Linked DNA regions of Caenorhabditis elegans. The protein of the gene in region 2 interacts with the protein of the main gene of each other region in a pairwise test. Each region holds a gene or a part of one and is shown on either strand. Other genes may lie near its edges.

Evidence for each region.
Region 1: the proteins of K10D6.4 (region 2) and lin-39 interact in a two-hybrid assay, tested with the Caenorhabditis elegans proteins (3 studies listed by BioGRID).

Annotation. Positions count from the first base shown.
Region 1 is NC_003281.10:7,533,482-7,538,399, forward strand, and holds the start of lin-39 (Homeobox protein lin-39), read right to left. Parts: upstream 3,152-4,918; 5' UTR 3,109-3,151; intron 1,220-3,108; coding exon 920-1,219; intron 1-919. UniProt on the Caenorhabditis elegans protein: Transcription factor.
Region 2 is NC_003283.11:11,199,848-11,204,999, reverse strand, and holds the start of K10D6.4 (Maelstrom domain-containing protein), read right to left. Parts: upstream 3,076-5,152; coding exon 2,934-3,075; intron 2,720-2,933; exon of another isoform or gene 2,580-2,719; intron 509-2,579; exon of another isoform or gene 330-508; intron 1-329. Other genes in the region: K10D6.3 (TPX2 domain-containing protein), read right to left, coding at 3,608-3,796, 3,847-3,930, 3,975-4,065, 4,307-4,335.

The DNA.
Region 1 (4,918 bases), on a different chromosome or scaffold from region 2:
ATTAAATTTGTTATATTTATCAAAACTATCCACATTTCAAATAACCTTTTTTTATATTTAAAAATAGTTAGTACCAGTGCTTGGAGGTTTTTGCAGCTTCCAATTGTGAATCTAAAAAAGTACAAAAATCGATGGAACGATCATTAATCTCAATCTGAATACTCTTCTTCCTCTTATTCTCCATTTTGTAACTCGTTCTCATAAATTTTATTTCAATTCCTACTCTTCCAATGGTAGTCACCAGGCGCCAGTCCACTCACTTCAAAAGAGAAAATAAAATTGATCGCGTTGTCAGATTATTTTCAGAAACGCTGAGGAATTGATTGATTTTCAATTTTTGGCGGGAAATGACAGAAGTTTCAAACCAGTGGGAGGCGCCAAAAGGGTGTTAGAACTTTTGAATTAAAAAAAAACAGATGAAATAAAAAAAAACTTTCAAGAAATTTAAATTCCACATGGACCCGAAATGTTTCAAGAACTAATTGTCTCTGAGCACCTGTTTATTTTTCAAAATGGTTTGTTTTCAGAAATTAAATTCGATTAGCAAAAGTTAACCAAATCGGTCTCAGCGCTTTGCAGAAACTAGAATTATTTGAAGGTTGTCAAAAGTGCGGCAAATAAAAAATTGTGACTTTCTATAAATCTGTGAGCATTCCTTTATTTTAATTATCCCGAATCACACACTATTTTAGTTATTAAAATTTTACACAAATTTAATTTTTGCCAATAGAGGAGCTTCCTAACTATAACGCTCCAACTCTTGCTTAAAGTATGGTGACGTTCAGAGAACTTAAAAAGATTACGAAATTCGAAATTGCTGAACTTTTCTAAAATATCATTTCATCTACTTAAATTTGTAGTGTTTTTTTTTTAAATATAATACTGTTTTAAAAATTACCTTTAAAGTTTCGTAACTAACCTGATCTCCGAGTATTGGATATTGAGGACCTCCCAGTCCTTGACTTGAGGCAAAATATGAAGCAATTTGAGAAGAACTAGTCGGATCATAATAACTTCCAAAATGAGCAGAAAGTGCAGCAGACGCTGTCATTGGATCATATCCAATTGTACTCGATAATTCAGAAGATGATGGAATTCCAGATGCACCCACAGAAGATGTGGATGATGATGAAGAAGATGAGGATGAAGACGAAGAGCTTGATTCAGGAGCTGTAGCTCTCGGTGCATCTGTGGATGACGGTGATGTTGATGTGGTCATCTGGAGTGAAAACGAGTGAAAGTGATTGATAAGAATTGATTGAAAAGAGATGAAAAGATGAGGGGAGGGAGGGGAAACGAGGTGATATAATAAATGAGGACGAGAGGCGCGTCGGGGCGGTTGAACATTTGTTAAAAATGTGACGTCTCCCTCTTTCTCCTCTTTTCTTCCATTGCAAAAGAGACAGAATACCGGGCGCCATCCTTCCCCGATCCCGCCCATTTCTCCTATTGGACGAAGGGTGGAGTCTCAGAAAGCGGAAGGGATGAGGGAATAGAATAAGAGGACGATAGAGATGAATGCAGTAGTTAAAAAAAGAGATCAAATTTTTTTCATTGAAGTAGATCATTCAGATATTCCTAAAGTCTACATATCTTCAAAAACCGAATAACTAGTAGAATAGGTATTTAAATTTGAACAATTGTAGTGAGAGCAAGAAAACTAACAATTTGTGCTGCTAGTCTAGAATTCAGAGATACGTGTACAATCGCAATCAATGACCGGATCAATATCTCCCAAGAGCCCAAATTTTCAACACAAAAGTTAAATACGATGATTCAGTTCTTAAAATTTTGAAGAACTTTCAGCAACCATCAATTTCTTTTACAGGTGATCAGAGCTTTAAAATTTATTAAAATTCCTGGGCACATATAATTGAAACCAATAAATTTCAGAACACGAATTAGCAATAATTACCGTTTGATAGATTTTAAATTTTAATTTAAGAACCTTGTTTTTTTTAATTACTGCATTCATCAAAAGGAATTAGATCAACCTATCAACTACTTGTACCTAATCCTTAGGAAATCATTAAAACTAGGAAAACAACAAAAGCTTAAGAACGGAAACAGAACAAAAAGAGAAGAAAAGTAAAGAGTTGGAAATGGAGAGAGAAAAGATGATGGTGATAAATTGAGGAGCAATCTGCGAGAGACGAATTGTTTTTGTGGGTGTGCTCAAGTGGGTGGTCATGGTTTAAGACCCGCGGGTTTTACCTTATAAGATTGGATAATTGCTCTAAATAGCTTTATATAAACTAGTAAGCAATCTATGAGGTCAAGAAGAAGTATGGACTAGAAGTCTTTATGTGTTTTCTCTGTAGGCCTAAGCTCTGAAATGTTACCTAACACTATTCCACACATTCTCCATGTCTTGAATATTTATGTGACTACTGATTACAAAATGAAATTTCAGAAATATTGAGGCTGTGGGCAATCCTCGAAATTTGACGAACTCAGCAATTTCGGTAGATTTGTCGCACACACCTGACAATGAAGCTTTTAAGTTGGATAATTTAAAGTTGTGATAATAGCTTTTTTAAAGTAAGATTACATTTTGTTTTCTTCTATGATTCACAAATTAAACGAGGGTGAGATTCAATTTATTTAAATGATCGGCAGAATAACGGGAACACGGTAAAAAGGCGCCTTCGCAACGCCTCATAAAGTGCAACATCTAATCTGGGCTCATTTCTTCCAGATATGTTTTCAATTTTTCAATGGTATATTCTCCAATAATGCAACATAAAATGTTTTTTCGGAACGCAGGTAATTTGAATAAATTCCTACAACAAAAAAAAAACAGCAGAAGCCAAAGCCGAGTATCTAAAAATGTTTCAAATACTGAAATTTAGTCGATAACTTTGCGAAAATATAAGAGGGTTCCGAAATAAACTAGATTTTAAACGTTTTCTGCCACAAAGGTGGAAAATTGATATTTGAAGTACATAACTTGCAAAATTTAAAGACTACGTTTTAAATAGTAGAGAATTTTCCTATAACTTTTTCAGGTGACCTCTAGGTTCAACTTATTTAAAGTTAAGTTCCAGTTTCATTTAGAACTTTGAGAAGCTTTGTGCCAGGAGTGGATTTAAAAAAAGAGAGATTTACCTTAATTCTAGAAGGTCGTAAAAAAATGTTGCCAAAATTCTATTGTTGGTATTGCCATCGGAATTTCCTCTATCGCCCTCCCACTTCATGTCTTCTAATCCGGGCGGCACGCACAAGAAGACGCAGACGTACTGATACACGTGAAGGGTGGAGCATGCTTCTTCTCCAATCTCCCCCACTGTCGGCATAGATCAAAGAGGTTCGTGGAGCCGAGAGCACATCTCTTGCTCTCGCCTTTTCAATTCATCACTGACAGCGCTGGATGGACATGGGGTGAGAACGACAGGTACCGTAAGCTTTTGGGCTCCAAGAGTAGAAGAGTTGAGCAGAATGAATTTTCGCTTTTAAGTTGCCGCTTTTAGGAACAAAATCTTGACCAACTTTTTCCCATTGGACAAGTTGTCAAGAGTCAGTCGAAATGTGCTCAATTTTATGAACTCTCTGATTTTATAGATATGGAATTGTTACATGAAAATTGGAAAAATGGCAAAAAGGGAGAGTATCTCGGCTTTGGGCTAAAACTTGAGCAGAAATTGAGCAAGGTTTCGACAACATAGTCTAAGACAAGTATTGTCAAAGCTCTTACCAACTTTTGCCAACATCTGATAGTCCGCTTTTTGAGCCAAATGCCTGGTATGCACAAAAAGTTCAAATGACCAAAAGACGAATTTCTGTGAAATTTTAAAACGGCGTTATGGGAATTTTGAAAAACGTTGAAGTTTTTCTAGGTCATTGATCAGATTTTCTAAAAATTTAAGCTTCTAGCTATTTCTAGCTAAATTAAATGTTATCAATACTTGGTCGACACCAAACACTATTTTTTGGAATTGTCAAGATACCTAAATATAAAAGTCTACAACTGAAGCATACGCTTAATATGTTTTCAAGATTTTGCAAGGCATCTGAAATTGCTTCGAGATTTCCAGCAGTGCCTCACCTTGTTCTTAAAAGTAAAAGTTCCCGAAACTTGAGGTTTCAGAAATGCCAACTGCAACTGAATTGATTCCAACGCCTCTTACAAAATGAAAGAATAAAGTTCTAGAAGTTCCCTACTGTAAACATGCAAACAGAGATATTTAAACTATTTATAAAACTTAAAATGTGTTACTTTTGTTAACTTTGAAAGTCTTTTTTAATTTTTTGATTAAAATAAAATTTTCAAATTAACAGTACATAGAGAATTACAAATTCTCAGAGCCACAACACATGATAATGTACTATAAAAGGAAATAACCCAAACACATCACATTTTTTATTTCATTATCAGTTTTCTCAATCTATAAATGATCCAATATCCTCACACCTCTCACAGTATAGATAAGGAGATAAGAATTGCATAACACTGTGGTAATAAATAAAAAAAAAAAGTGAGTAAATGATTAGTAAGTGATTATGCAATTGACTCAAGTCTATTTCCTGTCTCTTTTACAGTGATTTATGAGTGTCAGGAAGCATCAAGAAGTGTGGAATGAATGGCATCCAATTACTCATTTGTAGGTACACGAATCAAGAAAAAATAGGTTGAAGAAGTGTAGGGATCTTCTCTCTTTTACAAATTGATGTTCGACAATTCCTCATTTTGATTTTTTTTGGTCTTCCAATCTAGTGCAAACAGAAACGAGATAGAATGAGTTACAGTAGGAAGTTCATTAATCAAATGACGAGAAAAAGAGGGAAAAGTAATGAATACATTGAAGCATAAGACAAAAAAGAAATGAAAGGAAAGGAAATTGAACCACCGGGGGATGCCTGGTGAAAAATGAGAAAAGAGGTAGCGAGTTTGGAAAATTGGAGTTATGAACTATATCTG
Region 2 (5,152 bases):
CAAAATGCAGCTGTTGAAATATGGTCTCTCTCTCTCTCTCTTTCTAGAAAATAAAGATCTCTACTGATCTTTTTTTAGCTCTTCGAACAGTAATACCTGTCTGTGATACTATTTGATTTAGTAGCGTAGACAATTAGGGTAAAATAATAAATGTCTCAAAGTGAAATCCACAAAATATTCCCATATTACTTCCTCTTTTGCTCCAGTTTTTCTTCTAGTATTGAGAGTCTCCAGGGGAAAAATTTAAAGAAAAAACACATAATTCTTGAGTCCATTCCAAAAGTTTTATCACCACCACTACCACTGGGCACCAACTAATCTAATTCTAGAAGCCTGGGAGCCAATCAAAGCAATAAAATTGAATTGCATCGTCGGAAAAGCAGTGTGTAACGACTGTCCTAATCTACTCTCACCTTTCCGTATAATTTATGACAGTCAATCAGGCTCCAAGGCACGCGTGCTCAATCCAAATGTACATGTTGAAGAACTTGTCGAAAACTTGAACGAAGAGAAAAAAATGTTGCTTTCACAAAGTGGGGGGTTAGATGACAATCATATTTGAATTTTCAAGTTATCTTGTTGTTCTAATGGTTATAACATTAATGAATAATAAATAAAAGAAATAAACGAAAATTCATAATATAACCTTTTTTATCAAATCTCCACGATTTCATCGAAAATTCTGAATACACTTCTTGGTGCGTTTAAATCAAAATGACCTAACTGTAGTCTTTAAAAAATTAGCGGATATAAATTTGTTTCTACTCATTTGAAAGAAGTATACAATATCTTTCGACGTCACCAACTCGTCACAAACATATGATTGCTTTATAATTTCCTTGTGATCAGTCTGAATAATATTTACAGCGGATGGCTAACAAATTACTTTATTAAAGCATGGGATCCTTCCCCAGGGTTTCCTCAATTATTGAGATTCTAGAATCTATACTCCCACTCTTTATAGTCAGTTGATAACAGAGAAGACTTGACATAAACAAAAGGAAAATAAAACGGAAATTTGAGATCAAGGGAGAATGCATAACTCGCGGTGGGGAGTCCTCTGGAAGATGATATTTAATGGAAAAGTGGGTGAGGAAAAAGGAACAAATGATGAGCAGTTGCAGGAACAGCATCAGCAGGTGGTCGAAATTATAGGGACCACCAAGAGTATTGTCCAGGTTGATTCATAAGGTTTTAGTTAATAAGAGCTTTTTGTTAATTTATACAAAGGCTTCTTGCAAGATATATCAATTCAAAATAGTTTTGTAAGATTTTGATTAAGTAAAGCAATAATAGAAACTGACATAAATTTCAAAAAGGAATTGAAAAAAAAATAATTTGGATATTTTTAAGTGTCGGGGCAACTGCTAATACGTTTATGTTTTTTTCAAACAGTATTTTTGAAAGCACTTTAAACATTCAAAAAATAGTGTAAACCCACAAAAAGATTCCAGAACAACTATTCAAAAAAGTTAAACTCACATGTCCTTTTTCTTACAATTTTGCTAGATTTTCTAAAGTTTTTTTTTAAATTAAAAGTGCGTGGAAAATTCGATTCTAGATATTTGTGCACTTTGAGGAAAAATGTCCAAAATTTTTTTTTGAAAAGTTATAGGAAAGAATTTTAAAAACTAATACACAAAATACAATGGGAAAGGTCAAAAGCGAAGAAACAAAATGAATATCCTTCATCTGAAAGACATCTTCCCGAAAAAGGACCGAAGTCAATGGATACTGAGAAGTTCTTGGAACTTTTGTATCAAGGTGTAGGACAAGTGGTACTTGAGTAGTGGGTATTAGTGACATTTCGAGTGGTAGTGCCTTCTTGAGATCACAATGCATACGGTCATTTTATACAGTGGACAAAGTAGACGAGTGACTGTAATCAGACACCTGTTAATCCGATTATCTTTTTGGAAGCAATCAGAAGGAGAGTGAGGGAAAATAAAGAGTTTACAAACAAAGAAATGGGTGACACTCTTGAACAAATGCGATGGTTTCTCGAGCAAATGAAGGAAATTTCTGTGAAAACAGTGAGAAGAAGCTAATTATTACTATTATAACTTTTTCCTAAACGTTGTGGGACAAACTGCAATTGAATTCAACTATAAACACTCAGAAAACCCAGTGAGCCTCTATACAAGCAATAACACCTGAGTCGCTGTAAAATAAGGATTACTTGTCAATCATAGTAAAGGATTCTCCAAAACTAATTTTCAGGATATTGAGAGACATAATCCTTTGAAAATGAAAACGAGATGAAAATATTTTCCGAAACAAGATTTGAGCTTTGTGAACTTGACCATTTAAAAACTAGGGAAATATGTTTTTGGACTAACATTCTTCTTACATGACAAAGAGAAAAAGAAACAAATGAAATGCTTCACAAAAAACCATACAAAATAGGTGCCAAATAGGTTATCGTATCATTTTTGATTCAGCAATTAATAACCATAAACCTGGATCGAAAGATAACAATTCGCTAGGAAGGTGAAAAAGAAATTAATAGATTTATGGTAGGTAACTGGCATACGGTATAAGATATAGCCATAGACAAAAACTTTTACGCGTCTACAACGATGGGTTCACTGTTTCTTATCTATTTACAGCTGGGTCGTAAATAATACAATTCACCCATTATCGCTCTTTTGAGAGTAAAAACGGTAAAATGACGATTAGTTCGGTCTTAAAGGTAATAAAAATTTCCCGAAATATTTTCAAACTGCTCCACTCATTTTCATTTTTGCTCTAAAATTCAACTGGCGGCGTCCGAAAAGGGTGTCATTTTTCACATGAATTTGCATTACAATGACACTTTATGTGTTGTATTCAAAAAATGAATGGAAAAATAGAAATGAAAGTGGTACCGTGCGAAAAATATTTTCGAGTCGAAAAGCGGAAAAACATGAAAAAGTTACGTAAACCGAACATACCAAGAGGGAGTGAACAGGTGAAAATACAGTTGGATTCCACGAATTGAAAGCATCTGTCACACGTTTTGAGGGCGATCTGATCATTGAAAGACCGGCATATGTACTGCTGTTTGTGATCAAGGGTAAAAGGAACTTGTTTCATATGAATTGTGCAGGTGAATTATATCAGAATGAAAACAGGAGTCACAAGAAAACATTATTCGAAACAAAGAAAACCACGCAAAAATACATTAATTATCCTACAAAAATGGTTTCAAAAAATTAACGTTGATCTGACTTTATGCTAACAAAAAGTTTGTAGACAAGATCGTTAAAAACTAAGTATTTTACGAAATTTCGGAATTTTCTTTAAATCATGTTTGAAAAAGATCGATAATCGACGATTGCCACCAGAAACCGGCAATAGCCAGAAATATAAGTCATGAATTTTTAAAATTATGCTCACTACTGGCAACATTGCATTACAAAACTATAAAAATTTTGAAATACTTTATTTTTCGTTTTTGTTTATCAAAATCATATCTACTCACCAAAGTTTCAAACTCAGAATCGAATTTATTGTGATTGTCTCGCTGTGTTTTCTTTGTAAAAATTAAGTTTATTTTAATTATAAAATCAGATATGAAATACTAAAACTTTCATTTCACTAATCTTGAAAAGAAAAAAGTTCATTTTCATGCAGCCTTCATTTCACAAGTAGTCGGTGCAGGTTTTTCCAATTTCATGCAATCCAGGCTAGACTTCACTTTCAGAGCTTTATCGACTGAATCTGACTCTTTGCTCTTCTTCATTTCAACACGCTTAACCGGCGTGGTTGAAAATTTGTTTCTCGGCTTGACGGGAACCGAAACCACTTCAATTCTCTGAAATAATTTATTGGGAGATTTGTCATAAAATTTTTAAACTTTCTTACAGCAGTTCCAATTGAAGAATCAAGATCATTTGAAGAGGACGGATGAGAAGGCTGGGTTGACATAACTTGAAGTTCTCTTTCGATCTGGCAAAATAAAATGTTTTCTCAATTAAAAATTATATTCAGACCTTTTCTCTTGATGATCTAAGCACTTTATCCTCATCGGTCTTTTCTTTTGGCGATTTAGGAGAAGGAGTTTTTTTCGTGGTCAGGTGGACTCTGAGAACATGGTGATTTCGCTGGTGATAATGAAAGATTTCGTTCCAAATTCGATTTTTGCGATAGTACAGGGCTAGTTGCCGGCGATCTGCTTAGAGTTTCCTTTGACCTTTTTTTCTTTTTTGAACACAATGAAATCGTGAATACGGCGGAAAGAAAAAATAACAAAACGCTGGCCAATTTTGTGTACCTTTAAATGGGCAATTTTATGATATTTTTAAATTAGTTTTTGAAGACTTACTCTAATTCGAAAAAATATCCAAATTGCATAATCGAATGCTTGAGAATACAAAACCTTTGAATAAATTTACAATTGAAAAATCTAAAATGGAAACATTCTACAATAAGGAGAATTAAAGTACTCACCAAAATCTGTTCCAATTGTGAAATGAAAAGTTTACTTCGCAGATTTCAAATATAAGAACTACGTGAATTTTTTTTTGGAAAAAAAAAACTTATTGCAATGATTTTACGGCTAGATTATATTTTCTATTATTACACGCTTACTCATCGTTCAAAAATTTTTACTGTAGTTTCTAATAGTGTTGCATGCCAATTTTTCTGCAAAACCAAGTCTATCCAATTTGAGCATGCTGATGATATTTGTTGTTGATTTTTTAACCCGTTATTCGCTTACTAATTTACGTTTCATATGGCAGTTTTAATGATTTGACAATAATTTCAAGTCTTTGCTATTTTACACGTGGAGGTAAATATATTAATTATGAATAGTCGTTTTTCAGAATTTAACAGGTAAGGATCACAAATCTCGGCAGGTATTAACACCATTGTCGTTACGAATTCCTTAGTTTACTCAAATCTAACTACATATAATTTTTATTTTCCGCCTTGAAAAATTATAATTTTAAATAGTAATTATTTTTGTCACCTTTACACATTAGTTCCAACCAAGACAAAATCCTCTTCAGATTTCAATCTTTTTCTGAATAAATCCTTCGGAAACAATCGGTAGACCTATAATATCCTTTCGGATGGAATGTTTATCACAATACAATCTTATCCTCATCCTTCTCCTCATTCATCCTCCTTCTCATTCAACACTTTTATCGCTCCCGATGGAGTTGAT